2 linked regions of the Astyanax mexicanus genome follow. The protein of the gene in region 2 interacts with the protein of the main gene of each other region in a pairwise test. Links are inferred from orthologs where the notes say so. Each region holds a gene or a part of one and is shown on either strand. Other genes may lie near its edges.

Region 1 (17,546 bases), on a different chromosome or scaffold from region 2:
ACCAGGTCAATGATGATGGCAAATTGAGAACGGAAGTGGGGTCAAAAAACACAGATGTTTAGGAAACCATCCATCTCAAGCCATTGGTTCTCAAAATGATCTAAAGAAACCTACTGAAAGGCCAGATTTTGATTTATCAGAATTGATCAGAATTTGGATTTTTAAAGAATAAGAAATGAACACACTGCAAAATACAGCAATATCACATAATTATGGAGCTAAATATTGACCAATGCTTTGAAAAACCTTTTAAACATGTTTTATAGAACACCAAAACGGTGAAATAAATGTATTTAATTCATTCAAACATTGGAGACAAGTTTGAGAACCAATGCTTTCTAGACATTCCTAAAATGTTTTTTAAAACACCAAGAAGTCACAGAATCTTTTGGTGCTCCTGCCATAGCAAAAAATTGTGGACCTAGAATGATTTGGATGTTTTTCGTTGATTGCACTCAATGGTCACAAAATATTGAACCATCAAACACTTCACATCACTGAAACCCAACAAAGGAAACAGAAACTAAAATATAGCTATTAATATAGCTTAAAATTAAAAGTATTCATAATCTCATGGCTAACAGGAAAATGGCAGTAAAAAGGGGGAAAAGCAGTTTAATTACTTTAATTTCAATGGAAACAATGGTATATTAAAAGAGTTTATCCTGGTTTTGTTGCAGTAACTGTCTCTAATGTCCATTGAAGACTACATTTCATTATTAAAGGCATTGCTGTGAATCAGGGCTGCAAATATTGAATATGTTAGTAATCAAGTATTCTACTGAAAATTCATTTGATTAATCCAGTAATTGGATATAACATTTTCGGTTTCCTTTTTTAGAACTGTAATAAATGGTGTTGTCACAATACCACACAATTATGACTTAATACCAATAGTGAAACATACATTAACTGAAACTATGTGTTTCATCATATGGATAAAAAGAAGTTAGACGACACAGAGCTTGCCTCAGACACTGGATTATACTTCGGAACGTGGGTTTGTGCTGAAGTACAGCAGTAAACCAGTCGCAGAAATTTACTGTGAATCCGACTGTTTTACAAACGGTAGGATTTCTTTCCAGACATTAAGCTGTTATTAAGCTTCATGATGATTGATAAGGATGGTCCACCACCTCAATTATTCTTAAACTTTTTTTTCTCCACAGGGAGTACACTTTAAGCGTGTTAAGGGGGTATTTGCATCTGTGTTAGCAGTAATGCATGCAGATTGAAGTTGCTGAACTGCTGCATCTATTAGACAGGGTGTCCACAAACACTTGAACATTTGAACATTCAGTGTTTTTTTTTTTAATTTAAAATAAAAGAAACTAAGCGAGGACTGTCTTACCTCCAGGTCCATGTCTGGGGTGCTGCGCTGCCCAGGCGAGCCTCTGCCCTCCTGCCTGCGACTCTTCAGGCCCCTGTCCTGCTGGGGTTCGAGTGCAGCCGCTCCGGGCGCTGCCTGAGGCGGCCGTGCGTTCCTGACCGTGTAAACCGCGTCTTGGTGGAGTTCCCTGCCTCCGTGTTCCCTCTCTCCTCCATTCACCTCTCTCTCCTGCTCCAGCGAACCACCATGGGGGTCCCTCTGAAGCTGCACAGCTCTGGCACTGCCAGAGGGGTGGTAGAACATGGGCACTCCCCTCGGACTGAGCTCCGCTGCCGGCAGCATCCCTACTGCGCTTAGCTGCTGCTGCTGCTGTGTTGCGGCCTGTTCTGAAGACAGCACCAGAGGAACTCCTCCTCCAGGGGGTGCCGCCACTTTGGCGTAGGCGTGGGTAGACACCTGCTGCTGCGGGGGCGAGGAGACCACGCCCTCCTGGATCACTGAGGGGTAGGGGACCAGGTGGGAGACGGGGTGTGGCTGGGGGATTGCGGACTGAGGGGATATTAAGGGGCTGGGGACAAAACCTGGTGGTACAGCGTAGGGAACGGCGGTGGCGTAAGGTGAACTGACGAACTGTAAAGAGGAGTGCGGGATGGGGGTGTAGCCGAGAGGGGGGTAGGGGATGCCTGGATGCTGCAGGAGCGGAGATGGAATGGTGTAAGCAGCAGGAGATATGTGCACAGGGTGGAGGCTGGTTGGAGAATAGCTGACAGAGGGGAGGGCCACTTTGTAGAGCATGCTGTACTGATCCACAGGCAGCCCAGCTAGGCTTTCTGGTCCTTCCACACTGTAGTGGAGCCCAGGCTGAGTCCGAACCCACTCACCACTACTCTGGGGTTCTCCACCTGTTCCAGAGCTCTGTGAGGATGGGGCATCCTCGCTGCTGCCACCACTGCCACCACCACTGTTGCTGCTGCCACCTCCTCCTCCTCCACCACCACTGCTGCCTCCAACCCCGCTACCTCCTGCATTATTACTACTACTGCTGCTGCTGTTGTTGGATGTGGTGGTGGTAGTATTGGTGTTGGTGGCATTGTTAACCGGAAGGTCCCGCTTCTTCGGAGGTAGGCACTCCTGGTTGCGCTCGTGGGCCGGCTTCATGGCGCTCCAGGCTAGGTACGGGCGATGCTAGTGGCAAGCAGGGGCGAGGCCCGACAGCCGCACAGACAGCACCCCTGTAATCAGCTCTGAGAAGCTCCTGCTGACCTCGTCCATTGCATTATCTAAACATAATAAACACACAAACAAAAGCCTATAAATGGTTTATTACATCATAACCATCATACTTATGATAATAGTGGCAGCAACCTAGATCTCTAATGGCTTTTTCCCCACTTGTCTACTTTACTACACAATTACATTAAAACCAGAAAAGGCTGGGCAATATTGTTAAAACAATGCCAAACTTTTGTGGATGATATATTGGCACTGAAATGATTGCGATTAACAATATAATTGCAATTTTGCAAAGTCTATTAAATGCCACTAAAATACTGATAATGAAATAGCATAACAAAACAACTACATTCTTTTAAAAAGAACACATTTGCAAGTAACATTTCCAATTCTCGATTACGACTTTCATTCTCATGTAACAACTAAAAAAAGATCATTTTATTCGTACATTGAATGAATGAATGAATGAAGTTATATTTAAGGATGTTATTTAATAGTTATTAAATGATTATATTTATTGAATGATTATAATTTTTAACTGAAAGGATATAAACATCCAGAATAAGTGGGTGACATCTTCCCAAATTGCTCCTATCACACTCACATGACTTTCTAGAAACCCTTATTTTGAAGTGTCAAAACCATGCAAGTAAGTATATATTTAAACAATTTTAAGCAGAGACATTATATTACAGTTAAATATTAGGAAAAGTGAAAAATATTAAAATCACTGCCTATTTTTTTTTTATACATACCATATTTTTCGGACTATACAGCGCACTTAAAATCCTTTAATTTTTTCCAAAAATCGACAGTGCACCTTATAATTTGGTACACATTTATTATAAATTCTACCAGTCAGGTATTAAGGAGCAGTAAAGCCACTTCACTGAAGTCCAGCATTATAAGGGTGAGATTTCAGAAACTTCACTAAAAATGCACCCTTAGACAAAATATTGGAAATCTATGCGCCATGTAATTATGAATGATAATATACCAGAAAATAGACCAGAAAACAGACGTTCCAATAATAGTATGCCTTATATTTTGGTGCGCCTTATAATCTGAAAAATACGATACACATATTTACAGGTTTCTGACAAAAGCACAACCCTATCTACTGAGATTCCCTCTGGCAGCTTATATATATATATATATATATATATATGTCAAAATGTACAATCCCCATTGTCTTTTTTGGAATCTGCATTAAAAAGTACCTCAATTAACAGAATTAATTCAATTACCTGCCCAGCGCTATACATAATACTGCAGCAGCTTAGTTCCCTAATGGCTTTTTCTCACTGCTACACAGAAAAACAATCTTACACAATTACATTAAATCCAGACCCACCACATTTTGTTTCAATACGCCCGTCACACTATATTTACACTGCTAACGGAGCACCATACCATACTGAAACAGGGCACGCTGTGAAGAAGCCGCAACCAAGTATCATAGCAACAAGAGAATTTCAACCTCAAATATTACGACTCAGGATATATTTTGCTCATCCTAATTGCATTGCCTTGTCACATGATGTTTTCACGATGCCCAGATTTAATCAAGATGTGAATAAAACGAGGCATTAAGCAAGAATTGGTCAGAGGCTTGGCGCACATGGCCCTTTTCTTTCTGCCACCTCACACTCAATGTTTGTTCATCCTCAGAACCTCAGAATGCGTTTCTAAGGTTAAACATTAAAAATTATTAACTTCTGATAAGCTGATATATATATATATGGCAAATTTCAGCTCAAATCTGTTAATATGATAATGTTCAACTAAATGAGGAAACCTGGACTTGAAGGTTTTTAACCAAGCATTAAAAACATTACAATATATTGTACAATACAAGATATACAGTACCAGTCAAACGATTGGACACACCTTATCAACAGCCTGTCAAGAGTTAACTACTTGAATTTCTTGCCTCTTATTGCATTTGAGAGCATCAGTTGTAAAGTTGTGAAGAGGTATAGTTGATATACAGTGCATATGGCTATTTGAGTAATGATATAATCCATTTTCTGACATTTTTAAAGAAAAAAACAGTTTGTTTAAGTAATTAAGGTCAGTGTGTGGAATTTACACAAGTTTAGGTTTCAAAATTACTTGTGGAAAAGCACTTTTTAATGGATGGTCATGTCTGCCAAGGGCCAATACCATTCCTGTGTTTAAAGCTGTTGGAGAAATTTTACTCTTCTATATTGTCTATATTGCTCTAACCTGGCAGAGACAGAGCTAGTGCTGCCGCTGCTGGAAACATGAATGAGCAATGTTGCAAAAAATATATATAATTATACATTATATATTTATAATTATAACGTGCCTTTTTTCTAATTATTGATCTGTACATATTTAAGATATTAGCGGTTTATCTTAAGGTAATGTTTAAGTTCCCTTCATGGTCAGTTATTCATTTACAATGTACAAAAAATAAAAGAAAACATTAAAGGAATGTCAAAACTTTTGACTAATAATTTGTAATTTGTAAATTGTAATGTGTAAACAAACTGTGTGAACATACACTTACATTTACGGCATTTAGCTAACACTTTTATTCAAAAGGACTTATGAGATTATTTCTATTACAGAAGTGGACCAATGGAGTGTTTGTTAGGAGTCTTGCCCAAGGACTCTTACTGGTGTAGCACCGCATTCAATCACCCAGACCAGGATTTAACCCCAATCTCCCAGTCCACTTAGATAAACTACCCAACTAAGTATAACAAAAAAATACTTTGAGAAACAAAGGCCCGACAATCTGAGAAATTTCAAGAACTTTGAAAAACCATCAAACGTTATGATGAAACTGGCTCTCATCAGGACCGCCACAGAAAATGAAGACCAATACTTTTATCTTAAGCACAGGATAAGATTATTTTGGTTTGTTTTAAACACTTTTTGGTTTACTAGATAAATGAATAACTCCTTATGTATTCCTTCATAGTCTACATGGATTATTTCAGCTTTTATTCGCAATGTAAAGATAAATATAAATTATTAAAAACATAAAACATTTGTATTAATTTGTAAATAGGTTAGGTTAGCTAACCGGATAAATAGCACAGGAAACATTTAGCTAGACTTAGTAAACAATAAAAATTCTCAATACTTTAGCTCTACACTGATTAATCACTCATTTCTGTTACTTATAGCATAAAGAGTAACAGGAGTGAGTGCCAGTAACAGGTAACAGAACTGTAACCTGTTTTTTTCCAATTCTGTTTGTTTTGTCATGTATCTATTTGTTAAATAAATTGCATGATAATACATTTGATTAATTTGAGGTTTGGGTCTTCTTGAAAAGATAAAAATAGCTTTGTATATTTTAGAAAAATACAATGTGCATGTATATATATGAATTTGTTTGTCAAAAGTATCAATTATTTGAACATGCAGTCAACTATTTCTTTAAATTAAAGACTTTTTGAGAGAAAACATGCTTTTTAAATGTCACATAAGTTTAATTTGAAAGGGTTTCAACAAGCAAATGGCACCCATTTGGCGAAATAGCCCATAAAGTAATTAAATATTTAAATATTTGTATAAATTTGTAAATATGAGTAAATGAAGCCAGTTAACCCAATGCTAGGTTAAATTAGCCAGGTTAGCTAACAGCATAGATAGCACAGGAAACCTTTAACTAGCCTTCATAAACAGTACAAATCCTAAATACTACAGCCATACACTGATTAATTACACATTAATCTTAAACAGAAATATATATTTATTCTCTAAAACACTGAATTATTAACTCCAAAAGCCTGAAATTAAAGCTAAACCCTCTCTAAACTATAAAATCTCACTGCTGGACATTACCGAGGGGCTCCGCGCGAGCCCTACCGTTAGCCGCCCGCTGCTAACGCGGCTAACCGCCTCTCCCCCGCCGCGGAGAGCCGTTTCCCGCCGGTACCGCGCCGCGTCCCCCGCCCTCACTTACCCCCGCATGTGGTGGAGCGGCCCGCGGTCCGGCTGCATGCTGTGGGGGAGTCCCGATGATAGAGCCGCGCTGAATCAGGGCTGCGGATCTCTGCCCAGTCCACAGGCCAGCGGCCCAAACCCCAGCGGCGCGCCCGGATGATGTCAGGACAGCAGGGCTGCGCTGAGCTCCGGGAGCCGCGCGGTGCAGATTCACAGATCTACAGATAATCCGGATCGGAAACCCGCTTCACCATCTAATGCGCATTCTGTATAGTAATCTGATTTAGGAGTTTACAACAGCGTGCGGCTCAGGGAAAGTCCAATGGGGGTCTCCGGCTTCTGACCTCAGCGCTAATCCAAACACACGCACGCACGCACACACACACACGCGATAATTCGTGAGTACGACCTCGCTGCTAAACTATCCAGTAAAAAAAAAGCTGGTCATCCAGACAAACATACTCTAACTAGTCAAGATTTGTTCTCTATCTTTATTTTTTTAAGAGTGGAAACAAGATAACTAAGTCGTGGGGACGACATATAAGCCCAGGACTTAATTATCTTGTTTCCAACCTATAGTAAGCTATATATTTTAAATCCTTTTCTTTAGCAGGGATCTATGGAAACCCCCACAGGTGACATAATGTAAAAAAATAAATAATGCGTGGCCACTTCTATTTAAGGTGTGGGAACAGAATAATTAAGTCGTGGGGAAGACTTATATGGCCAGGACTTCGTTTCCACACCTTAAAATTCAATACGTTTCCATGCCCTATTAATACTTTTTTCTGCTTCTGTGTGCTTTGTTTTCACTGCTGCTGTAACACTATAGATTGCCCCTTATCTTATTTGTTCTTTATCTTATATAAATATATAAAATATATATAATATATGTCATAGATTTTAGCTCATTGTCTTAGCAGCCCATGCTATACTTTCTCTCTGCTTCTGTGTGCTTTGTTTTTACTGCTGCTGTAACACTGTAGATTACCCTGCTGTAGGGCTAATAAAGGATTGTATTATTTGATCTTTATCTTACATAAATATAAGTCGTAGCGTGTGTTTATAGCTTATATTCTTAGCAGCGATCTATAGAGCCTGTGATGGGACATCATATAAAAAAATCTGTAATGCATGGCCAAAGATTCTCAAATACATACGTAAATACATTAGTAAATTCACACCTTTTTGTATCTAGTACGGTTTGAACAGGTAACTAGGTAGTTCATCGGTTAAAATAGCTAAATACGTAGCTATATACACATTTATTTTTTTTATTTTTAGCTGCTAAAACCACGTAAACCCAGTGAAATATCCCCAGAAGTGAAATATCCCCAAAATATAAAGAATTAGCCAATTCTTTACATTTAAATGTTAAAGCTTAATCTGAAGTCTTAATCGCGATTAATCACATAATGTCGTTACGATTAATTCGATTATTTGTTTTTATTAATCGACTAACACCACCAGGAGCGTGCCCCTCCGCGCCTGTAGGTGGCGGTGTGTCTGCGGGCTGTCTTCTCTCTCCACCAATCAGAGCCGGCTTTCCCTGCTGTTGTCAGAGTACAGTACAGTGTGTGGGCAGCGCTCTCCGGACCAGAGGAACAGAATTAGAGAGCGGGTTCTGACGGACAGCGGGTTTTTTAATCCGGCGTTTTATTAAACACACCGCAGATTTACAGCATGTCTGAGACCGAGCCCAAATCAGCGCAGGACCTGACCGTGGTGGTGAGTGCGGCTTTACTGCGCAGGCGCACAGGGCTGCGGGGATTCCGCCGCTTCTGGGGATATTTTACTGGGTTTACTGGGTTTTAGCATCTGAAAATAAAGAAATAAATATCTGTATAGCTTCTTATTTAGCTATTTTAACTGATAAACTACCTAGTATCTTGTTCAAACCGTCCTAGATACAGTATAGTGCCTATTTACTAATGTATTCACCTAAATAAAACAGTAAATGTGGATATTCTGATATAATAAAAGCTTTAATAAGCTATTATTTTAGTCCAAAATGATTCCAGCGATGGTGACACCAGTTCAAACTCAGATTATATTGTTTAAAATCTATTTCTAGGTGTCAATAATGCAGTAAAGTGTTTACTAGTAGAAACTGTCTTATATGGCTTATATATCATATATGAAATTTGTACCAGCAATGAAATCAGACTAGTTTACCTACAGTACATTACCAGAATCACATGATATCTGGGATGTAATGTTGCTTTTTTTACTATTTAAAACGATTAAAAACTGCATTTGCAGGTATCTAATTAATAATTACTTTTAACTAATATAAAATGTATTATAAATTTAGTCTGACTAGTACTGAAATGCTAATTCAAGATCTGTAATGTAGACTAGGTGCATTTAGAATATGTGTAGTTTTAATATTAAAAATATAAAAAATGTAAGGGATGCACGATGATATCTCTTTATCTATATTACATCGTATCAGTCATTATGGCCAATATTTCAAATTGATACTTGAGATAATATAAGCCTTTATTAATCCCACAGCAGGGGAAATTTGAGGTGTTACAGAATCACAGAGGACAGAACAGAAGTGGGTACCACTTTAAAATAAGACTACCTTTTTAAAGGGTTTATAAATGGTTTACAGTTAGTTTATTAATGGTTACTAATTAGGTTGTAAATGCCTTAAAAATCATTAATAATCAGTTATAACACATACGTAGAAAGGGCAACTATATAGATGTTGTGGGTTCACTATTTTGCAAACAACAGGTCATTGTTGCCCTTCCTAAGTATGTGTTATAACTGATTATTAATGATTTTTAAGGCATTTACAACCTAATTAGTAACTATTAATAAACTAATTGTAAACCATTTATAAACCCTTTATAAAGGTAGTCTTATTTTAAAGTGGTACCCTGAAGTGTTAGGGAATATATATCAATATAAAAAAATATATAATATATATACATATATATGTATATATACACTAACTACAAGAGAATGAAACAATACTAAAAAAAATGTGATCTAGAAAAGCTAAGATAAGAGGAAGCCTGGTTCCCCAGTATATCTTATAGTAAGCAGTGATCACTGTTATTTTTTGCACATAGGCTGACAGTAATAAATGACAATTAAATAGTAAATAAATGATGATATTGCACATGATATTGTTGGTAAAGAGATTATGCAACATATGGATAATGTAGCTATTTCACATTGTAGAGCACTAGAGCAGTAGTAAGTAAATAATTTAGGAAGTCTAATACTTTCTACTTAGAGTAGGACAACTTTAAAATCCATTTGTTTAAGCTCATTTTTATTTATTTTTTATCAATTATAAAGTTATACCGGGGTCTAGTCTAGTTTCTCTGTAAGTAATAAGTTTGTGTATCTGCATATATGTACTTGTGTTATCAGCATCAGACCAGAATTCCAACATCGGCGCATGCCTAAAACATATATAAATATACACTTACAATCTGCTTTTTTGAAGTATTAAAAACTGTGTCAGAAAGATCTGTAATTTAATAGGAATTTTTAATGGTAAACGTAGGGCTTGTGAGGCTGGTGTTAGTTAAGGTTAAAAAAGGGTTGTTTTAAAAAGCACCATAACATAGAATGTTTGAAATTCAGTCATTTAAAATCATAGATCATTGCTTTAATATTAATAAACCTAAGGAATCAGCTCAGCAGCATGTTCTGCCGGGTCGCACAACTGGACACAACACCAGGGTGGCTTCTCGTCTCCACGGAGACGTGTGTTTGGACGGTAGAATGGAGGAAGCTGTATCTTAGTTACCATTTTAAATGAATGAAGTTCCAGTTGCTATGCAGTGTATTTGAGTTTAACTCGCCCGGTCTCTATTTGTTCTGTTTGTTCGCCTAAAATACCTCGTTTCCATGGTTTCAGCTGCAGCGTGGGCGCGTGGCATGACTTTACACTGCTTTGATCTATCCTGTACTGCGGGCAGCCATGGCGACCCTGGACACCCACACACACACTCAGTGTGAGGGAGTTGTGCGTGCCTGCTGTTCGTGACTTTAACCGGCGTCGTGTTACGCTGAGTTGTCCTAGAGAGGCCATTCATACATTTTCTCTTTCTGTGACTCTCTGTGTCTCTCTTTAGGTGCAGACTTTGCTGCAGCAGATGCAGGACAAGTTCCAGACCATGTCAGACCAGATCATCGGAAGGAATATCCTGCTTTAATTTTATTACTAGAGATTTGTGTTCTGTAGGACTAGTAAACCTCTAGAGTTAGGGCCTGAATTAAAAGCATATATGGAAGTATAAATGGTCACACACACTGAGAGGCACCAAGGTTTGTGTGTTTCTTACATTGTGTATATTTGGTACGATTAATATTGGTTTTTACACTACAATTTAGTCAGTGGACTATTAAACGTTACTACATCCTGTCATCATCAGCTACATGGGCACAATCTCTCAGTCAGATTTATGAGGTTGAGTCACCTGGAATGGCTTTAAGTTCCCTGGTAAAAAATGAATATACTTAACTGTACATAAAACATATTAAGAAATGTATAAGTATGCTGTAAATATACTAACAGATGTATGTACTTACTTCAATTTGATTAAAAGTAATATTATGTTTTATTAAATGTTTAAAAGTAAACTTTGATCATACTTTTTAAAAAGTACAATAAAAAAATCATGTACAGTTCAATGTAATTCAGTATACTTCTTAAATACTAAATACTTATTTCCCAATATACGTTTGTACTTTTTTTTTTAGCAAAGTGTGTTAAAAACGACTATTACAGTAGTTTAATTAATGTACAATGTATCATGTAACTTTTTCAAAAAGTTAATTAAATTACTACATTTAAAATATATATATTTAAAAAAAAGTATATTTGTAACAAGCTAAACATTACAGTACAGTATATTCAAATATATTTTTATACCTAATAAAGGATACTACAAGTGTGCTATTACGAAAGACAGGAACAAGAAACATATTTGTACTCAGTACATTTCTAATATACTTGCTGTATAGTAATAGTGATACAGTTGTAATACACATTAAATGTATTATAATTTTACTGTAAGCATATTTAAAATATGAATATGGGGTCACATACATGAAGTAGTTTAAATGTTTAAATGTTACTTAAGTATATTTAAAATAGTTCCATTTTAGTACAGTTAAGTACACTTAGCACAATTTAAGTAAGACCTTAGTACTATTTTTATATAATTAAAGTATAATAAGTACAAAAAAGTTGTTCCATTTTAGCACTCTTTAAATATACTGGTTAATAATAATGTAGCTACAAAAACACTATAGTGCACTATAGCATAATAATGATTAGTATACTTTAATCTACTTTTTATTCATTAGGGTTAACAGCTGTGCTGAACCCATCAAGAGTTAATTACTTGAATTTCTTGTCTCTTAATAAAGTGTTTGAGAGCATCAGTTAAAGTAAAGTAGTGAAGAGGTAGAGTTACAGGTATACAGTGAATACTGAATATTTGAGTAATGTTCTAATCCAGATTATGAGAAGCAAGAAATACTCAAATAAAAGACCATTAAAAAACATTATGATGAAACTGGCACTCATCAGGACCACCCCATGAAAGAAAGCGCAAGGGTTACCTCTATTGCACAGGATGAGTTTATCAGAGTTACCAGCCTCAGAAACCACAAGTTAACAGCTCCCCAGATAAGAGCACCTAAATTATGTATTTTTAGTTTGTTTAACACTTTTAAGTTACTACATGATTCCTTATGTTTTCCTTCATAGTCTGGATCAGTTCATTAACAAATAGAAATGACAAAAAATGTTTTGAAAAGTTACTTTATTTCAGTAATTCAGTTCAAAATGTGAAACTCATATATTATATAGATGTATTAAACACAGAGTGATCTATTTTAAGCCTTTATTTCTTTTATTGTTGATGATTATGGCTTGGATGGTTTGGAGAGTCATGTCTGTCATCTGCTGGTGTTGATCCACTGTGTTTTATTATCAAGTCTAAAGTCAGTGCAGTTTTGTTTTCCCACAAAATCTTACAGCACTTCATATCTTACAGCTTCCCTCTGCTACTGACAACTTTTATAGAGATGCGTGGATTTCATTTTCCAGCAGGACTTGGCACAATGCCCACACTGCTAAAAGTACCAGTTGGTCTTATATCATATTCTAATTTTCTGATAGACTGATTTTTGGGTTTCATTGGCTGTAAGCCATAATCATCAATAATAAAATAAATAAGGGCTTAAAATATATCACTCTTTGTGTTTAATACATCTATATAATATATGAGTTTCACATTTTTAACTTAATTACTGAAATAAAGCAACTTTTCAAAGATATTCAATTTTTTTACCTGTATATAAAGGTAAAATGCAATAATAAGTTAACGGAATGAAACAGCAGAATAATACATATAAAATAAAATTCTAAAAATAAGTACAATTATAAAATTGTTTTATCTTAATCTAAATAGTTATCTGCCAAATGAATCTTTGCATTTCCTGCCATATGCACTTTATCACTATTTGGGTTTAAATACCGTATATGAGATGTTCTCCTTAATGCTCACACTCGATGAGATGAGCACACGGATCGATGACCTGGAGAAGAACATCTCTGACCTCATGACTCAGGCAGGAGTGGAGGAGTATGAGGGGGAGAATAAAGTCAGTGACGCATCGGGAACAGCTTGATAAAGGTTTGGAATTGATGCTGAATTGAATTGTTTTCTTTAGACTGTAAATTTAGCTGACTTTTTTATTAATTAATTTATTTTCTTTTCAGTTCGCCAGGAACACAGAGGAACCTACCTTTTCCATAGGCGTGGCAAAGTTCTCTAATTATAATGGTCTGTATGTATGTACTGTATGTTTGTATGTATGTGTGTGTGTGTGTGTGTGTGTGTATTTTTATTTTTTATGTTTTTTTTTGGGGGGGTGGGTGGGGGAAAGAAGGGGTTATGTATGCCATATGTGTAAATAGCGTTTGATATGGATTATAATGCTATCATAATGCTATGATTTTGTTTAATGCTGCACTAAAATTAGTTTTTCTTTTTCTTTTTTTTTTTTTAACTAAAAACCTCTACAGTGTAGGATCACCTAACCCCCCGCCTTCAGACCTTTACTCAGACAGCAGTGGGTTTTACACCTCCAGCCTGTTAAACTGCTCATTTAAATCATGTTAGTAGCCACATTACACCAGAGGAAATACTGCATGAATCTTTCTGTAGTGGAAGGTGAAAAAATGGAAGCATGGAATGGAGTTATTTTACACTATTTTACACTTATTCATTTATTTTACATTCTTAGCACAGAATGGCATAGTTACAGACAGCTTTCTTCAACAGCAATAACATGGTGTTTATGTAATGGAGTTTGCAGGGTTTGGGCAGGAAAGCACTGACCAATTAAACATCTATAACTATGCAAACATATATAGTGACTAATTCCATTAAAAATGTGTTTATGTTGCATTTCAGTCCAGAGGTGAAACATTTTGAACTGGTTAGTTAGTGGACCTGGGCATGGGAGTGATAGAAGTCATAAAAAATGGTTCAGAATAAAACATAAAGAACTATTCTAAATATTACTGTAATTTCAAAACACTATATATATGGTGGTATATGAGGTGTTAGTGTGTGTTGTGCTGGTGTCAAGGTATAAGTGACAAGGTATAAATACTCCATAAGAAAGAGCTAGCGCTTAAAGCAGTTAGCAGCTAATGCTAATGCTGCTCCAGCAGTGCTAGCCGGGGTTAGCAGCAAGCTACAGTCTGATATACTCGCCTTTGAACAGCAAAAGAGCTAGCGCTGACCTAATGCTAGTACTTCTGGAGAGACTTCACTGAAAACTCTAACCCGTATAACGCTGTACTTCAGCGAAGTGGATTTACTGCTCCTTAATACCTGACTTGTAGAATTCATACATAAGACACACCAGATTATAAAGCACACTGTCAATTTTAAGTGCACCTTATAGTGTAAAAAAATACGCTATTTACATTGTACTAAAATACAGGGTTTGGACAATGAAACTGAAAAACCTGTCATTTTAGTGTGGGAGGATTCATGGATAAATTGGAGCAGCCTGGTGGCCAATCTTCATTAATTGCACATTGCACCAGTAAGAGCAGAGTGTGAAGGTTCAATTAGCAGGGTAAGAGCACAGTTCTGCTCTAAATATTACAATGCACACAACATTATGGGTGACATAGCAGAGATCAAAAGAGGAGAAATTGTTGGTGCACGTCTTGCTGACGCATCTGTGACCAAGACAGCAAGACTTTGTGATGCATCAAGAGCCACGGTATCCAGGGTAATGTCAGCATACCACCAAGAAGGACCACCCACATCCAACAGGATTAACTGTGGACGCTGTAAGAGGAAGCTGTCTGAAAGGGATGTTCGGGTGCCAACCCGGATTGTATCCAAAAAACATAAAACCACGGCTGATCAAATCACGGCAGAATTCAATGTGCACCTCAACTCTCCTGTTTCCACCAGAACTGTCCGTCACCACAATCAATTATTGTGCTCTAAAACCAGGTGTTTCAGTTTCATTGTCCAACCCCTGTACATATGCAGCTGAAAGAGGGAGCCGAGAGCATCCCAAATATATCAATGTTAACATTTTATTGTATTGTTAATGTCATTATGGCTTTTAGAAAAATGTGGCCTAAGCTTTTATTTTTAATGGCATTTTCCCCTTTATATTACTTTTACTTTTATACTTTAGGTAGTTTTGAAACCAGTACTTTTACACTTTAACTTAAAAAGTAAAAAGCTTTAAGTAATAATCGAGTAATAGAGTGGAGGACAGTGAATGATTAAACACAGTGTTTAAAAACTCCAGCAGCACTGCTGTATCTGATTCACTCGCTGTAACAGCACAACACACACTAACACTAATTACTACAGACTACAGTCTGTAATTATTATAGAACTACACAGTATTAAATGTGATCAGTGGAGATATATTGTCATATGTTTCATTAACATACAGCCTGGAGGTGTAAACCCTACTAAGCCCACTCACCTGTACACCTGTACCCACCTACCTATATACACCTGAACACCATGATCTTTCATTGCCTTCTACTACATACAGTGCTACACATACACAGACGTTAAGCAGACTGTGATACCTTTCTTATTCATTTTAATGCTCTCCATCACTCTTTCCACTCTTCTTTCTGATATGTTATATCTGCCAATGTATTTATCCATCTATCTCTCCATCTACAGTACCAGTCAAAAGTTTGGACATCTTCTCATTCTGTGTCCATTCTTTATTTCCATTGGTTTCTACATTGTAGATTAAAATAATGAAGACGTCAGAACTACGAAAGAACACATGGAATTATAATTATTATTATGTAGTACTGTACTTTATCTCTCTCTCTCTCCCTTATATTCCTTTTTGCTGCACTTTCTGCACCAACAAAGAAAACAGCAAAGACCGTGCTTAACAGACACCTGATCTACTGTGACTCCACACATACATTTCCACTGGTGCTGTTCATGAGAGATCTTCTGCCTGGTTATTAATAAAAAGTAGTAAAACCATCAGAAAGAAGACTAATGTAATCTAATGAACTGAGAGATGTAAAATAATGCCCAGTATAGTAACTGTTTTTTAAAGTATGATTTAAATAAATATATAAACTATTGTACTAATAAATGTGTTGATATTTAAAGGTATAGACACATAAGGTTATATAAAAGATAATGTTAGTTTGTTATATTAAGTAGGATAAGTAAATGAGATTGGGATATTAAAAATGTAAACAGTGTTAACAACTATGGACTTCATTAGAGGTATATTTAAAATATTTGGGGGACATATTATGCAAAACACACTTTTTTGAAGATCTTCAACTAGATCTTCTAGATCTTGAAGATCTAGTTAAAGATCTGCCTTTTGTTCATTTTGGTTGAGAACCTCAGACAGTACACAGCAGTACTAGACAGCAGACTTCTTCTGAGGTAGGGATCTGTACCTGCTGTCCATAATAAGTCAGCAGATGCTAGCTTGTTCATGTTTTGCCCTTTAGCACAAGCTAACACTAACGTGTGCTAAATCTTCAATGTAAAATATTTGCATAAAAGTTTCTATAGCCCATAGACCTATATGCCACATGGACTTATTCTTATTTTAACTTGTTTAAAAAGATCTATAATATGTCCCCTTTAAAGTTAACTTACTGTAATGACATTTTATTATTTATATATTAAATAAACCAATGTCTAACACATTAAATTGCCAAGTGGATGTTGATTGATAATCAGTTGATTATTAAAGTGCTTTCCTTAAGAAAATGTATGACCTGGCTTCTGGCTGTTTATTGAGATCCATGGTAGTAGAGTCTGATAAGAATAATAAGAAAATTTTCATTTTTTTTAAACCTGTGTTCAGAAAGCATGCTAAAACTCAAAAAACACATCTATTACAAGGTTATACGATAAGTCACACAAGGGGAAGTTTCCCACACTAAACAGCATTTTGAATGGAGATTTCTCATTAAAAATAAATAATATAGGACTAATGAATCTAATGAATTGTCCCTTATGATACAAGTAAACAATGTGTGTTCCATTATTCCTGATTAATAAATAGTACTATATGTCCCAACACAGTCTTATTATTGATCGTTAGCCATCAGAATTTAAATCATTTTACATTATTGACATTTCTGACTGAAATGTGGAGATTTGTAAGGAATAGATCACTATGGTTTGAATGCATGCTGTATGCTATTGAATGTTGAATGACTATGAAAAAAGATCGATTATTAGTACTGTAAGTGGTATAAACTGAAAGATTAAGCATGAATATTTGAATGTTAAGCTTGATGTTTCACAAATACTTTATATTGGTTGTATAAACTATAAAAATGAAGAATCAGACTGGGCATTTTAAACAGAAATTGTGTAACATGTAAATAGAATAAAAAGCATTTAACACTCAGTTCACTGTATAAGGATAGTATCTCATAAAAAAAGGGGGTACACCTGTCACATTATTTGCAAATATTCTATTATATCTTTTAATAGGACAACACTGGAGATATGACACT
Region 2 (17,100 bases):
AAAAGATAAAAAAAGAGATAGGAAATGAGAAGACATAAGAGGAAATGAAAAGAGGTAAAAAGAGAAGTGAAGAAAAACAAAGAGAGGAAGAGAAAAGAAGATAAGAGATAAGAGGACATGATAAAAGATTAAAGTAAAAAAGAAGAGATTAGAAAAGAGATAGGAAATATAGAAAGAAGAGATAAGAGGAGGAGATCAGAGAAAAAGAGAAGAGATAAGAGGACAAGAGAACAGATAAGAGAAGAAGAGATAAGTGGAGATAAAAAGAGAGGATGAGAAAAGATAAGAGGAAATGAGAAAAGATAAAAGGAAAAGAGATAGGAAATAAGAAGACATAAGAGGAAATGAAAAGAGGCAAAAAGAGAAGTGAAGAAAAACAAAGAGAGGAAGAGAAAAGAATGGAAGAGATAAGAGGAAATGAGAAGAGATAACAGAAAATGAAAAAAGATAAAAGTAAAAAAAGAAGAGATTAGAAAAGAGATAGGAAAAGAGAAGACATAAGAGGAAATGAAAAGAGGTAAAAAGAGAAGTGAAGAAAAACAAAGAGAGGAAGAGAAAAGAAGATAAGAGATAAGAGGACATGATAAAAGATTAAAGTAAAAAAGAAGAGATTACAACCCCTGGCAAAAAGTATGGAATCACCAGTCTTGGATGAGCACTCCTTCAGACATTTCATTCTGTAAAACAAACTCTGATCAAAAACATGATACAATAATAAGGTCATTCCAAAGTGCAACTTGTTGGCTTTCAGGAACACTCAAAGAAATGAAGAAAAAACATTGTGGAAGTCAGTGAATGTTACTTTTATTGACCAACCACAGGGAAAAAAATATGGAATCACTCAATTCTGAGGAAAAAAGTATGGAATCATGAAAAACAGATAAACAAAAGATGATTCAAAATACATCACTAGTATTTAGTTGCACCACCTTTGGCTTTTATAACGGCTTTCAGTCTCTGAGGCATGGACTTGATGAGTGACAAACAGTATTCTGCATCAATTTGGTGCCAACTCTCTTTGATAGCAGTTGCCAGATCAGCTTTGCAGGTCGGAGCCTTCTTGTGGACCATTTTTTTCAATTTCCACCACAGGTTTTCAATTGGATTGAGATCTGGACTATTTGCAGGCCATGACATCGACTGAATGTGTCTTTCTCCAAGGAATGCCTTCACAGTTTTTGCCCTATGGCACGATGCATTGTCATCTTGGAAAATTATTTCATTATCTCCAAACATCTGTTCAATTGAAGGGATGAGAAAACTGTCCAAAATGTCAATGTAAACTTGTGCATTGATAGAAGACTTAACCACAGTCATCTCCCCAGTGCCTTTGCCTGACATGCAGCCCCATATCATCAAGGACTGTGGAAATTTGGTTGTTTTCTTCAGACAGGCCTCTTCATAAATCTCACTGGAACGGCACCAAACAAAAGTTCCAGCATCATCACCTTGTCCAATGCAGATTCTTGACTCATCACTGAAGATAACTTTCATCCAGTCATCCACAGTCCATGATTGCCTCTCCTTAGCCCACTGCAGTCTTGTTCTTTTATGTTTAGGTGTCAATGATGGTTTTCTTTTAGCTTTCCTGTATTGAAATCCCATTTCCTTTAGGCGATTTCTTACGGTTCGGTCACATACATTGGCTCCAGCTTCTTCCCATTTATGCTTCATCTGTTTAGTTGTACTCTTTCGGTTTTCAAGACAAATGGCCTTAAGTTGCTTGTCTTGACGCTTTGATGTCTTTCTCGGTCTACCAGTACGCTTGGCTTTAACAACCATTCCATGCTGTTTGTATTTGGTCCATATCTTGGATACAGCTGACTGTGAACAGCCCACATCTTTAGCAACCATGCGTGAAGAGTTACCTTCTTCAAGAAGTTTCACAATCCTCTCTTTTGTTTCAAGAGACATTTCTCTTGTTGGAGCCATGGTTCTTGCCACTCTAATTCATCCAGCAGCCCTCCAAGGTGTCATGACTGCAGGTGTTTTTAACTGCAGACTAACGAGCAGATCTAATCTGAGGCAGGTGTCCATTTAGGGAAAGGAAATTGACTGAGTGTGTCCTTATTTTCTACCTTCAATTTGAGTGATTCCATACTTTTTTCCTCGGAATTGAGTGATTCCATATTTTTTTCCCCGTGGTTGGTCAATAAAAGTAACATTCACTGACTTCCACAATGTTTTTTCTTCATTTCTTTGAGTGTTCCTGAAAGCCAACAAGTTGCACTTTGGAATGACCTTATTATTGTATCATGTTTTTGATCAGAGTTTGTTTTACAGAATGAAATGTCTGAAGGAGTGCTCATCCAAGACTGGTGATTCCATACTTTTTGCCAGGGGTTGTAGAAAAGAGATAGGAGATATAAAAAGAAGAGATAAGAGGAGGAGATCAGAGAAAAAGAGATGAGATAAGAAAAAAGAGAAGAGATAAAAGGACAAGAGAACAGATAAAAGAAGAATAGATAAGTGGAGATAAAGAAGAGATAGGAGAAGAAAAGATAAAAGGAAATTAGAAAAGATAAGAGGAAAAGAGATAAGAGAAGAGAAAATGCAAAGACATAAGAGGAAATTAAAATAGGTAAGAAGAGAAGTGAAGAAAAACAAAAAGAGAAAGAGAAGAGAAGATAAGAGATAATGAGAAGAGATAACAGAAAATGAAAAAAGATTAAAGTAAAAAAGAAGAGATAAGAAAAGAGATAGGAAAGAGAAGAGAAAATGAGAAGACATAAGAGGAAATGGAAAGAGGTAAAAAGAGAAGTGAAGAAAACAAAGAGAGAAAGAGAAAAGAAGATAAGAGATAAGAGGACATGATAAAGTAAAAAAGTAAAAAAAAAAGTAAAAAAGAAGAGATTAGAAAAGAGATAGGAAATATAGAAAGAGGAGATAAGAGGAGGAGATCAGAGAAAAAGAGAAGAGATAAGAGGACAAGAGAACAGATAAGAGAAGAAGAGATAAGTGGAGATAAAAAGAGAGGATGAGAAAAGATAAGAGGAAATGAGAAAAGATAAGAGGAAAAGAGATAGGAAAGGAGAAGAGAAGAGAAAATGCAAAGACATAAGAGGAAATTAAAAGAGGTAAGAAGAGAAGTGAAGAAAAACAAAGAGAGGAAGAGAAAAGAAGATAAGAGATAACAGAAAATGAGAAAAGATAAAAGTAAAAAAGAAGTGATTAGAAAAGAGAGGAAATATGAAGAGATAAGAGGAAGCGAGAAGAGATAAGAGAAGTGAAGAAAAAAGAGAGAAAAAGAAAAGATGGGAAGAGAAGAGAAGAGATGAGATAAGAGGAAATGAAAAGATAAGAGCAACATATAATAGCTGAGTGAGGAGAAGTGATTAGAGAAAAAGAGAAGAGATACAAAGAAAAAATGAAGAAGGGAGGAGATAAGAGGAAAAAGAATAGGAAACAAAAAGAGATAAGAAGAGATAAGAGCAAAAGAGAAGAGATAAGAAGAGAAGAGATGAAAAGATGAATTGAAGAGCAAACAAAAACAGATAAGAAGAGAAAAGATAAAAAGAGAAAAGGAAAGAAGAGAAGAGATAAGAGTAAACAAAAAGAAACAAGAGGAGAAAGTGAGAGGAAAAGAGAAGAGATAAGACAAAAGAGACGGGATAAAAGGAGAAGAGACAGAAGAAGAAATAAAAGGACAAGAGAAGAGAAGAGTAAACAAGAAGAGATAAGGAAAACAGTAGAGAACAAGGGAGAAACAAATAGAGGAAAAGAAAAGATGAAAAGAGAAAAGATAAGAGAAAAAGAGAAGAATAAGAAAAGAAATGTGAGAATAAACAATAGAAATATGAGAAGAGAACAGTAAAGATAAGATAAAAGGAAGTGAGAAGATAAGAGTAACAGTTTCTGAGTTTTGGATAAAGGGTTTCAGATGGTACTTGTGGGTAGTGTCCCTCTTGGTGAGAGATCATTATCTGCTTAAAACAGCTGTAAAACAGGCCATATTTAAACTCTCAGAACTGTTACATCACAGTCCTGACTCATTATGCTCATATTGACAAATTGACAAAGCTCATCTGGTTCTTGTTTTGAAGGAGAACAGCAGCGTTTTGAGGTTCTCGATTTATCTTTTACCCCGGGTTTGCCGTATCGTATCGTACCCAATAATATCGGCAACATTTTTTAATATGGTGAACGATATTATACCCTGAAATATTGTGGAATATCGCCCACCCCTAATTATCACATCAAGATACTACTTTATTACTGTTGATGATTTTGGCTTACAGCCAATGAAAACCTAAAATTAGAATATTATATTATAAGACCAATTGGTGCTTTTGGCAGTGTGGGCAGTGTGCCAAGTCCTGCTGGAAAATGAAATCCTCATCTCCATAAAAGTTGTCAGTAGCAGAGAGAACACCAGCAGATGACATGGCTCTACAAACCATTGTGAAGATGTGGATTTCATTTTCCAGCAGGACTTGGCACTCTGCCCACACCGCCAAAAGTACCAATTGGTCTTGTATATTTTGTATTGTAATTTTCTGAGACAATGATAGTTGAAGTTTGGGTTTATTGTCCATGTCTGCACTGATGCTGATAAAAAAAATTGCCTTTAAGTCGTGAAAAAGTCATGAAAAGAACCCTTTAAAAAACAAAATCCAAATTATTTTTTAATTATTTGGCAACATTTTTTAATATGGTGAACAATAGATATTATACCCTGAAATATGGTGCCATATCTCCCACCCCTAATTACCTAATTACAACATCAGGGTTCTACTTTTTTACTGTTTTTATCAAAAGAAAAATTCACACTGTTCTCATTATTTCCCATTATATATCTACTGAAGACAGATTATATCTGTACAGTATCATTTATTTTACGTTAATCCTGGATATATGGAGATATATGGAGATATTTGGAGTGCATTATTATTATTAGTATCATGATGATTCTGGATCAATGACTTCTGTTACTGTAAATCTATAAATCTGATAAAATTCTTGTATTTTTTAAATATCTCAATTAGGGATGTGCCATATCATATCATATATCATATGTATGCAATAATACAATTTAATTTTCTTTTTGTTGCAGTAGTGTATTCTTTTTATTTATTTTATTTATTGATTTTATTTTTGTATTTTGAGTATCGTTATTGCAAAAATACCATGAAATAGCGTGATATTATTTTATTATTGTATCGCCCACCCCTATCTTTTACACAAATTAAATCTGATTACTTAACTAAACCCATATAAAGCGATTTTTAACCAGCCCTGAGTGTTGTTTATGGTTCGTGCTCTGGAATGCAGAGACCCAGAGGAGATGAATCTCCTGCAGGTGATGACGTTTGTTTGGTGTCCCTGTCTCCTGCACGTATAGACCTCCCCTATGGACTCGCGGAGTGAGACAGACGGAACAGACAGTCACCTCCACCGGGCTCATTAAAACACTATTTATATTCTCAGGACCGGAATGCTCTGACCTTTTTCATTAGCTGCGTGTCACAGCCGAGCGCAGACGCCCGAGACATGCTGTTAGACGCATTCGGCTGCATTACTCGCCATCGCCCGGATCCTGAGGAGGACTGTGGCATGCTGTATCAATCAGATACTCCCTGAATCTATCCCTAGTTCTGCGTGAGAAAATACAACTCTGGGTAAAAATAAGAGAGCACTTAAAAATTTGGATTTTCTCTGATTTTACCAAATTAAAAACCTCTGGAATAAAATCAAGAGGAAGATGGATGATCACAAACCATCAAACCACCAAACTGAACTGCTTGATTTTTTTTTTTTGCACCAGGAGCAAAGCAGCATAAAGTTATCCAAAAGCAGTGTGTAAGACTGGTGGAGGAGAACATGATGCCAAGATGCATGAAAACATATGAATTTGTTTTCTTTGCATTATTTGAGGTCTGAAAGCTCTGCATCTTTTTTTTTTGTTATTTCAGCCATTTCTCATTTTCTGCAAATAAAAAATAAATGCTCTAAATGACAATATTTTATTTGGAATTTGGGAGAAATGTTGTCTGTAGTTTATAGAATAAAACAACAATGTTCATTTTACTCAAACATAAACCTATAAATAGCAAAATCAGAGAAACTGATTCAGAAACTGAAGTGCTCTCTTCATTTTTTCCAGAGCTGTATGATACTAGTGCATCTCAAAGAATTAGAATATCTACATTGAAAAGTTACTTTATTTCAGCAATTCAGTTGAAAATGTGAAACCTATATATTATATAGATGTATTTAACACAGAGTGATCTATTTTAAACGTTTATTTATTTTATTGTTCAAAAAATCTGAAAATTAGAATATTATATAATAAAGACCAGTTGGTACTTTTGGAGCAGTGTGGGCAGTGTGCCAAGTCCTGCTGGAAAATGAAATCTGCATCTCCATAAAAGTTGTTTTCAGCAGAGGGAAGCTGTAAGATATGAAGTGCTGTAAGATTTTGTGGGAAAACAAAACTGCACTGACTTTAGACTTGATAATAAAACACAGTGGACTAACTGTGTTATATCTATATAGACTTATATATAGATATAGGGGCTCGGCTTTAATGCAAGCTTCTGATTGGCTGCAGTGTAGAGCCCCTTTCTAGAGTAAGGGTCAAAGTGTCAGTGTTGGGAAATTGTTGGCCGCAAATGGCCCGCGGGCCGTAGTTTGGACACCCCTGTCGTAGAGGAAAGTGTGAATCATCAGTTTAGCTCAAATCTAGATTAAGCTGTGATATATTGGAATTGTAATATATAAAAAATATGAATTAAACTAAATTATTTTAAACAAAGTCAACATTTTTTCAACATCATTTATGTCAGTAGGATTTACTTAATTAAGAACCTTAAAATCCTAATAGGCAATATTGATTATTAGGTTATAATAGTGATAATAGTTATTTTAGTGTTATTTTATCCTTAATTTAATGTTATTTTATCGTTACTTTAGTGTTATTTTGTTGCTATTTTAATGATATTTAAATGCTATTTTATCGTTATTTAAATGTTATTTTAGTGTTATTTTATTGTTTTAGTGTTATTTTACAGTTATTTTAGTGTTATATATCTTTATTTTAGCGTTATATAATCTTTATTTTAAAGTTATTTTATCGTCATATTATCGTTATTTTATCGTTATTTCATGGTTATATTATTGTTATTTTACTCTTAGATTATCATTATTTTATTGTTATTTTATCATAATTTTATCATTATTTTATTGTTAGATTATCGTTATTTTATAGTCGGATCATCGTAATTTTTTTCTTTCGTTATTTCACTGTTATAATTAGTGTTATTTTATCGTAATTTTATCATTAGATTATCGCTATTTTATCGCTATTTTATCGTTATATTATCTTTATTTTATTGTTATATTATCATTATTTCATGGTTATATTATTGTTATTTTATTGTTAGATTATCGTTATTTTATAGTTATTTTAGTATTCTTTTATTATTTTTTTGTTGTTATTTTATCGTTGGATCATTGTAATTTTTTTTCGTTATTTTACGTTGTAATTAGCGTTATTTTATCGTTAGATTATCGTTATTTTATCGTTATATTCCGGGCAGTGTGCTCCAGCAGCCCCGCCGCTCTCCGGCCGCTCTCCCCGGGCTGGGCGCTCCTCTCCCCGGGCTGGGCTCCGCGCGGGCCGCCGCTGTTCGCCATTGTTCAGCGGGTCTGTGAGGGAAAGCCCAGCGCGAGCCGAGGGGCACAACGTGACCTGACAACGAGGAACCTCCGGGAAAACCGTCAGCCCTAAAGTATGCGGAGAGGGGTCCACCGAGGGGGAACCGCGCGCAGCGACACGCACAGACACACACACACAGCGGCGGTTAATCCACTGTACTGTAATCAGCGCTGTAGATTTATTTTATTATTATTAATTTATTTACTGACTGTAACACAGACTGTACAGAGCAGACACTGTAAACAAGAGCAGCTCTATAACTACACCTTTTTAGTGCAGTCTTTAATAGTGATGATTTGGCAAAATGCCATTTAAACTAAAGTTAGAGACAGTCAAGACAGTCTAGTTAGTTGAAATAATAAATTAAATATGTACATTTTATCTCTACGGTGTAATCAGCTTTATTAAAAATATGTTGCAACTTATCTTTCCAAAAAATCTAAATACCAACATTAAAAAAAAAATAAATACAAATAAATGTCCTGTTCTATGTCTGTTTTATAAATGTTCTATTAAATTTTTAGATTGTTTTTTATTGTTAGACTAACCTTATATTATTATTAGATTTGCATTACTTTATCATTATTTTATCACTAGATTAGTTTTTTCACCGCTATTTTATTGTTAGAATAGTGTTATTTTATCCTTAGATCACTGTTTTTTATTATTAGATTAGTGTTATTTCATTATTATTATTTTATTGATTTATTGTTTGATTATCAGTTTTTATCATATAATTACCGTTTTATATCATTAGATTACTGTTTTTTATTGTTATATTATAATTATTTTATTTTTATAAAAAAAATACATATTTTTGGATTAGCATTATTTTTGCATTATTTTATCGCAAGATCAGCATTATTTTATCGTTAGTTTACCATTTTTTTATTGTTAGATTAGCCTTATTAATTGTTACCATTTTTTATCACTATAGTTATTTTTGCAATATTTTATCGCAAGATTAGCATTATTAAATTATTATATTACCATCTTTGGTACATCTTTGTTTTATATATTATTATTATTATTATTATTATTATTAATTACAGTTCTGTTTTACTTCAGTTTTATAACATTTGCGTTGATTGAAGGATGTGTTTTATCTGTTTGGGGTTAATGTAATGCTGTCGGTGTTGTCGGCCGTCGCGGGCCCCCCCCGCGGTCGCTTCCCCCGGTCAGGGGGCGGAGACGGGACCCCCGCTGACGTCAGAGGGCCTGTCGGTTTCCTGCAATAGAAAGTGAGCGAGGGTAAAAAAAAAAAAACAGAGCTTCCCTGCGCTGGATGTGTTTATGATACAGGTACGTGTTCCCTCAGCGCGCGCGGGCACCTGTACGCACCTGGCGCCTGCGAGCACGCACACAGGTAAACAGGTAAACCGCGAGCTTGTTAGTACGCTAGAGTGACGTAACGCGCCGCCCGTGGTTCGTGGTGCTGGCGGCGGCGGCTCGTGTGTGTTTGTGCGCCCGCTCCGCCGTTGAAAACGCGCAGTGTTTGTTTTACGTTATTAACGCGCGCTTAACGTTTTCCCGGTACCGCGCTCCGGGGGGTTCGGCGGTGGCCAGGTGAGGGCTGGCGCGCGCTCCCGAACCCGGGCCGTGTTTTGTGGCTCACCGGAACGCCTCCGTTTCCTCTGTTTTGGAGTAGACGTCTGCAGCATGTTAATGTGCTCTGTGTGTGTGTGTGTGTAATGTTTATCAAGCCTGCAGCAGAGCTCGCGAGCTGTTGAAGAAGACACCCTGATGACGGTAGATAGATAGGTAAGCTAAGCTCGTGATTAACGCGGAACGCAGCGCGCGGACGGCGTTTATACGTGGTTTTGGTCGGTAGGGAGGAAGCGTGTTTTCGGCGTCCTGTTGCGGAGGACTCGCAGGGGTTTTCCCGGCTCCTCCCTCCACCACCTCCTCCTCCTCCTCCTCCTCCTCTACCGCCGCCGCTGCTCCACCCGGTCATGCCTTTCTGTCTGCATGTATGTTCACTCAGAACGTTTACACTGTTGCAGTAGCGCGAGACACTGTTACAGGGGGTTGCTACGTTGTTGCACTAGCTCGTTACACTGTTAGCAGGGCTTGATACAGTGCTCCAGTGGGTGGAAACATTGTTGCAGGGGGGAGTGTACACTGGGACACTGTTACTCTGGGTGGCTACAGTGTTCCATGGGCTTGATGCACTGTTACAGGGTTTGCTACATTGTTAAATTAGATCAATAAACTGTTACAGGGGTTGCTACATTGTTAAATTAGATCAATAAACTGTTACAGGGTTTGCTACATTGTTAAATTAGATCAATAAACTGTTACAGGGGGTTGCTACATTGTTAAATTAGATCAATAAACTGTTACAGGGGGTTGCTACATTGTTAAATTAGATCAATAAACTGTTACAGGGGGTTGCTACATTGTTAAATTAGATCAATAAACTGTTACAGGGGGTTGTTACATTGTTAAATTAGATCAATAAACTGTTACAGGGGGTTGCTACATTGTTAAATTAGATCAATAAACTGTTACAGGGGGTTGCTACATTGTTAAATTAGATCAATAAACTGTTACAGGGGTTGCTACATTGTTAAATTAGATAAATAAACTGTTACAGGGTTTGCTACATTATTAAATTAGATCAATAAACTGTTACAGGGTTTGCTACATTATTAAATTAGATAAATAAACTGTTACAGGGTTTGCTACATTGTTACACTAGCTCGTTACACTGTTAGCAGGGCTTGATACAGTGCTCCAGTGGGTGGAAACATTGTTGCAGGGGGGAGTGTACACTGGTGCATTGTTACTCTGGGTTGCTACAGTGTTTCATGAGCTTGATACATTGTTACAGGCAGTTGCTACACTGTTGCACTAGCTCAGGACACTGTTAGCAGGGCTTGATACAGTGCTTCAGTGCGTGGAAACATTGTTGCAGGGGCAGTGTACACTGTTACTCTGGGTTGCTACAGTGAGCTTGATACACTGTTACAGGAGTTGCTACATTGTTAAATTAAAGCAACCAATAAACCGATAGCAGGGCCTGATAAAGTGCTCCAGGGGGTTGAAACAATGTTGCAGTAGCTTGATATGTTGTTGCAGACGCATGGTACATTGTTAGAAGGGGTTGCTACATTGTTTCACTTGCTCAGTACACTTTTAGCATGGCTTAATATAGTGCTCCAGTGGAAACACTGTTGCAGGAGCATGGCACGTTGTTGCTCTGAGTTGCTACTGTGTTTCATGGGCTTGATACACTGTTACAGGGGTTGCTATATTGTTACATTAGCTCGCTACACTGTCAGCAGGGTTTGATACAGTGCTACAGGGGGTTGGAACACTGTTGCAGTAGCTTGAAATGTTGTTGCAGGGTCATGCTACACTGTTACAGGGGTGGAAACATTGTTGCAGGGGCTGATGCACTGTTACAGGGGTTGCTACATTGTTACACTAGCTCGATGCTCTATTACTCTGGGTTGAAACACTGTTGCTGAAACTCTATATTAGTGCAGGGGCATGGCACACTTTTACAGAGGTTGCTACATTGTTACACTAGCTTGATAAACTGTTACAGGGTTTGCTACATTGTTGCAGATGCTTTGTACACTGTTACTCTGGGTTGCTACGGTATTCTATGAGCTTTATACATTGTTAAAGGCATTTGCTACAGTGTTATGGGGGTTTATACATTGTTGCAGATGCATGATACACTCTTACAGGTGGTTGATACACTTACCATGGCTCGATGCACAGAAGCTCAATACACTGTAACTTTTGGTTGAAAAACTGTTACAGGGGTTTGCTACATTGTTGCAGATGGCAGATACACTGTCCCCATGGCTTAAAACATTGTTATATGGGTTGCTAAATTGTTACACTAGCTTGATACACTGTTACCAGGGCATTTCTACACTGTTACAGTGGCTTGCTAGCTACATGCCTGGTTCATAGGGCTTGAAACACTGTTACTCTAGGTTGATAAAGTTTAATGCATTGTCTCATGCAGTTGCTACATTGTTACACTAGTCGATATACTGTTACCAGGGCTTGATACACAGTTATTCTGGGTTGAAACACTGTTACAGGGTTTGCTACGTTGTTACACTAGCTTGATACACTGTTTCCAGAACTTGAAACACTGTTACAGATAGTGCTAAATTGTACCAAGCCCTGGTAACAGTATATCGAGCTAGTGTAAAACTGTTACAGGGGGTTGCTACTTTGTTTCACTAAGTTGATACACTGTTATCAGGGCTTGATACAGTGTTCCTGGGTTTGCTCTATTTTTTTGCAGACAATTGATACACTGTTACTCTGGTTTGCTACATACACTGATGCTCACATACACTGGATTACACTGTTACAGTAGTTTGCTACATTTGTCCAGGGGGTTGATAAACTGTTACAGGTAATTAATAAACCACAGGGGTAACTCGTTACATTGTATTTTCCCCAGTTTCCCCACAGTGAAGATTTATAACAGATTTTCTTATCTTATTTGTTATAGGAGTTTGATAACGCTGCGTTGTTTGTGGGGGTTGATGCACACATTTATTTATAATTTTATGTACTAGAGTGTGTCTAACCTTTTGAGGTTGCGTGCACATGTGGTGCCTCCTAGCAGCAGCAGTATCAGCAGCAGCGCAGCGTGCATGCATGCTAGTGTGCATGCTAGCTGTGTGATCTAGCCAGCTAATCGTACAGCTGACATGCACAAGCTGTAGCCTATGCAAAACGTGCATGCATGCACAGGAGCATGCACAGGAGCATGCTCGTGCATCCCTGTATTTACGTGTGTGAGGGGTGCAGGAGGGTGACGTCATTGCTGTAGCATTGCACATGCCCCGTGCACTCATAGTAACTACAGTATTATGTAATATGTGTAGAGGAGGCTGCGTGGTGCAGGATGGCGTTTTTTGGGCGAGGCGGTGGGCGAGCAGCAGCAGTGAGCCCCCCTCTCGCGCTCCCTCTCATTCTTTTGCTTTTCTTTCTCTCGAGCTCTCCTTTTCTCTGCTTGTAGATAAGGCAATAGATGTGCACCAAACATGCAGCTCCAAAAACAAAGCCAAACATTTTATTGTATATACACATAGCTCCACTGATTGTATATATTTTACACTGTAGTTATATATAATAATTACAGACTGTAGTTCTGTATGTGTTTCACTGTATATTTTATTATTACCCTCCTCCTTTTACCTTATTAATATTATTATTATTATTATTTGGGTTGTGGGTGGTTATTCTCAGCACTGCAGTGATTAGCACTGATTAGCATGGTGGTGGTGTTTAGGGCTGGGTATCGCAAAAAAAAAAAACAAATTTGATACTGATACGGTACCTTGAAACACTGTTGTAAGGTTTGCTCCATTGTTACACTAGCTCAATACGCTGTTACTCTGGGTTGCTACATTGTTACACTAGATTGATACACTGTTACTCTGGGTTGCTACATTGTTACATTATCTTGATACACTGTTACACTGGGTTGCTACATTGTTGCTCCTGCTTGATACACTGTTACTCTGGGTTGCTACATTGTTACATTATCTTGATACACTGTTACACTGGGTTGATACACTGTTACACTAGCTCAATACACTGTTACTCTGGGTTGCTACATTGTTACACTAGCTCGATACACTGTTACTCTGGGTTGCTACATTGTTACATTATCTTGATACACTGTTACACTGGGTTGATACACTGTTACACTAGCTCAATACGCTGTTACTCTGGGTTGCTACATTGTTACACTAGCTTGATACACTGTTACTCTGGGTTGCTACATTGTTACACTAGCTCGATACACTGTTACTCTGGGTTGCTACATTGTTGCTCCTGCTTGATACACTGTTACTCTGGGTTGCTACATTGTTACACTAGCTTGATACACTGTTACTCTGGGTTGCTACATTGTTACACTAGATTGATACACTGTTACTCTGGGTTGCTACGTTGTTACATTAGCTCGATACACTGTTACTCTGGGTTGCTACATTGTTACACTAGCTCGATACACTGTTACTCTGGGTTGCTACATTGTTACATTATCTTGATACACTGTTACACTGGGTTGATACTGTTACACTAGCTCAATACGCTGTTACTCTGGGTTGCTACATTGTTACACTAGCTCGATACACTGTTACTCTGGGTTGCTACATTGTTGCTCCTGCTTGATACACTGTTACTCTGGGTTGCTACATTGTTACATTATCTTGATACACTGTTACACTGGGTTGATACACTGTTACACTAGCTTGATACACTGTTACACTGGGTTGATACACTGTTACACTAGCTTGATACACTGTTACTCTGGGTTGCTACATTGTTACACTAGCTTGATACACTGTTACTCTGGGTTGCTACATTGTTACACTAGCTTGATACACTGTTACTCTGGGTTGCTACATTGTTACACTAGCTTGATACACTGTTACTCTGGGTTGCTACATTGTTACACTAGATTGATACACTGTTACTCTGGGTTGCTACATTGTTACACTAGATTGATACACTGTTACTCTGGGTTGCTACATTGTTACACTAGCTTGATACACTGTTACTCTGGGTTGCTACATTGTTACACTAGATTGATACACTGTTACTCTGGGTTGCTACATTGTTACACTAGATTGATACACTGTTACTCTGGGTTGCTACATTGTTACACTAGCTTGATACACTGTTACTCTGGGTTGCTACATTGTTACACTAGATTGATACACTGTTACTCTGGGTTGCTACATTGTTACATTATCTTGATACACTGTTACACTGGGTTGATACACTGTTACACTAGCTTGATACACTGTTACTCTGGGTTGAAACATTGTTACAGGGTGTTGCTTCATTGTTGCAGACAGTATATACACTGTTCCAATGGCTTAAAACACTGTTATAATGTTTGCTACATTGTTACACTGGCTTGATACACTGTTACAAAAGCTTGGTTCAGTGTTCCAGGGCATTGAAACACTGTTACAGTGGTTAGTTAGTTACATACAATGTTACTCTAGGTTGATACACAGGTCCTTAAAAAGTCTTAAATTAAATTTTGGATAATTAAGGTTTTAAGGTATTGTAGGTATTTTTTATCGTAGGTTTTTTAATTCCGGTGGGAAAGCACATATTTACATGAGCGTCAAGTTACTGGGGAGAGTAATAAGGTAGGCGTAGACCTAGCTAACATTAGCGGTAAGCTAGCTTATGTTACTGGGAAGAGAACTAAGTTTAGTGGAGAGCTAGCTAACTATGGCTGCAAGCTAGCTAATGAGCTAATGTTACTGGGGGAGTACTAAGGAGAGTACTAACATTAGCAGTGAGCTAGCTAACATACAATATTAGCGACAAGTTAGCTACATTAACGGGTCAAGAACTAGGATAAGAGCTAGCTAACATTAGCTGCAAGCTAGCTAATGTTACTAGGGGGAGAACTAAGGTTAGCGGAGTTAACATTAGCAGCGAGCTAGCTAACATACAAATGTTAGCGACAAGTTAGCTACATTAATGGGGAGAGAACAAGGGTTAGTGGAGAGCTAGCTAACATTAGCTGCAAGCTAGCTAATGAGCTAATGTTACTGGGGGGGTACTAAGGAGAGTACTAACATTAGCAGCGAGCTAGCTAACATACAAATGTTAGCAACAAGTTAGCTACATTAATGGGGCGAGAACTAGGGTTAGAGTTAGCTAACATTAGCTGCAAGCTAGCTAATGTTACTAAGGAGAGAACTAAGTTTAGCGGAGTTAACATTAGCAGCGAGCTATCTAACATACGAATGTTAGCGAAAAGTTAGCTACATTAACGGGGTGAGAACAAGGGTTAGGAGAGAGCTAGCTAACATTAGCTGCAAGCTAGTTAATGTTACTAGGGAGAGTACTAAGGTTAGCAGAGTTAACATTAGCAGTGAGCTATCTAACATACGAATGTTAGAGACAAGTTAGCTACATTAATGGGCGAGAACTAGGGTTAGAGCTAGCTAACATTAGCTGCAAGCTAGCTAATGTTACTAGGGAGAGTATTAAGGAGCGTACTAACATTAGCAGCGAGCTAGCTAACATACAAATGTTAGCGACAAGTTAGCTACATTAACGGGCGAGAACTAGGGTTAGAGCTAGCTAACATTAGCTGCAAGCTAGCTAATGTTACTAGGGAGAGTATTAAGGAGCGTACTAACATTAGCAGCGAACTAGCTAACATACAAATGTTAGCGACAAGTTAGCTACATTAACAGGCAAGAACTAGGGTTAGGACTAGCTAACATTAGTTGCAAGCTAGCTAACATGCTAACATGTTCTACGTCAAAATGGAACAAAATTTAAGAAAAAAAAAATGATAACAAATGGGAAATGTTACCCTTTGATTTCCAATACAGTACATTATTTTCTACTCGCTAAATTAGGACTACATTTTTGGGCCTTAAATTATTTTTATTGTGGCCTTAAAAAGTTATTAAAAGCATTAAATTTGACTTTTAAAATGGAGCAAAAACCCTGATACAGTGTTCCACAAGTTTGATACGTTGTTACAGGCTGGTGTTACATTGTTACACTAGCATGATATACCGTTACCAGGGTTTGGTCGTTTTAAATTTTTCGATACAGATACGCAAACGATACATTTTTTCGTAATTTGCAACCAAAAAATAAAAAAGCAATAATTATTCTCTTTTCTTTGTATTATTTGAGGTCTGAAAGCTCTGCATCTTTTTTGTTATTTCAGTCATTTCTCATTTTCTGTAAATAAATGCTCTAAATGAGAATATTTTTATTTGTAATTTGGGAGAAATGTTGTCTGTAGTTTATAGAATAAAACAACAATGTTCATTTTACTCAAACATAAACCTATACATACGTAGCAAATTAGGCTACTAGAAAGTTTTTTTATATTCTTAAACCATGTTTAATTATATTTCATTAGAAGAAAGTCATTCAGGCATTCTGAACAAAATAATTTTTTTGATATTGAGGTTATAGTCTATGTACAAAAAAACAGTTATAAGGCTCATATAATGCACATGGTCAAGTGCGTAATACGGACAAGTACAGTGTGCACTGCGCTACTTTTATTTTAAACACAGTTTGATTTGTTACTTTGCTATATTGTGATTATCATGCCACAGCTTTATATACAATAAAAATATTATTATTATTTTTTTTTTATTTTTAAAAATATTATTAAAATATTATTCAATTCTCTTTAAGACAGGTGTAAACGTAGTTTAGGTGTATTATAGTGACCCAGATGAATCTTTTACTTTTACTTTTAAGTACACATTATTTTTAAGAGTAGTGCTTAAATTTCTTGGAATTCTTTCCCTCTGTCTGTTTGTTATTAAGACTGTTCTATCTCTTTTTTTTCTTTTTTCTCGTGTACCAGGAATCGCTCTTTCCGTTCCCGGAACCTCGGCGTTCCGGCCAGCGTCCGTCTCTACGATGCTTCACTGAGTGAGGAGAGC

What was found.
Region 1: the proteins of hivep1 (region 2) and atxn1l interact in a two-hybrid assay, tested with the Homo sapiens proteins (2 studies listed by BioGRID). The link is inferred for Astyanax mexicanus from reciprocal best matches to the Homo sapiens genes HIVEP1 and ATXN1L.

Annotation. Positions count from the first base shown.
Region 1 is NC_064423.1:38,560,335-38,577,880, forward strand, and holds the start of atxn1l (ataxin-1-like), read right to left. Parts: upstream 6,863-17,546; 5' UTR 6,510-6,862; intron 2,611-6,509; 5' UTR 2,489-2,610; coding exon 1,352-2,488; intron 1-1,351. Other genes in the region: hsbp1a (heat shock factor-binding protein 1a), read left to right, coding at 8,174-8,218, 10,594-10,660, 13,041-13,162. UniProt on the Homo sapiens protein: Chromatin-binding factor that repress Notch signaling in the absence of Notch intracellular domain by acting as a CBF1 corepressor. Binds to the HEY promoter and might assist, along with NCOR2, RBPJ-mediated repression.
Region 2 is NC_064410.1:63,698,555-63,715,654, forward strand, and holds the start of hivep1 (zinc finger protein 40), read left to right. Parts: upstream 1-8,878; 5' UTR 8,879-8,959; exon of another isoform or gene 8,960-9,023; intron 9,024-9,235; exon of another isoform or gene 9,236-9,418; intron 9,419-17,021; 5' UTR 17,022-17,100.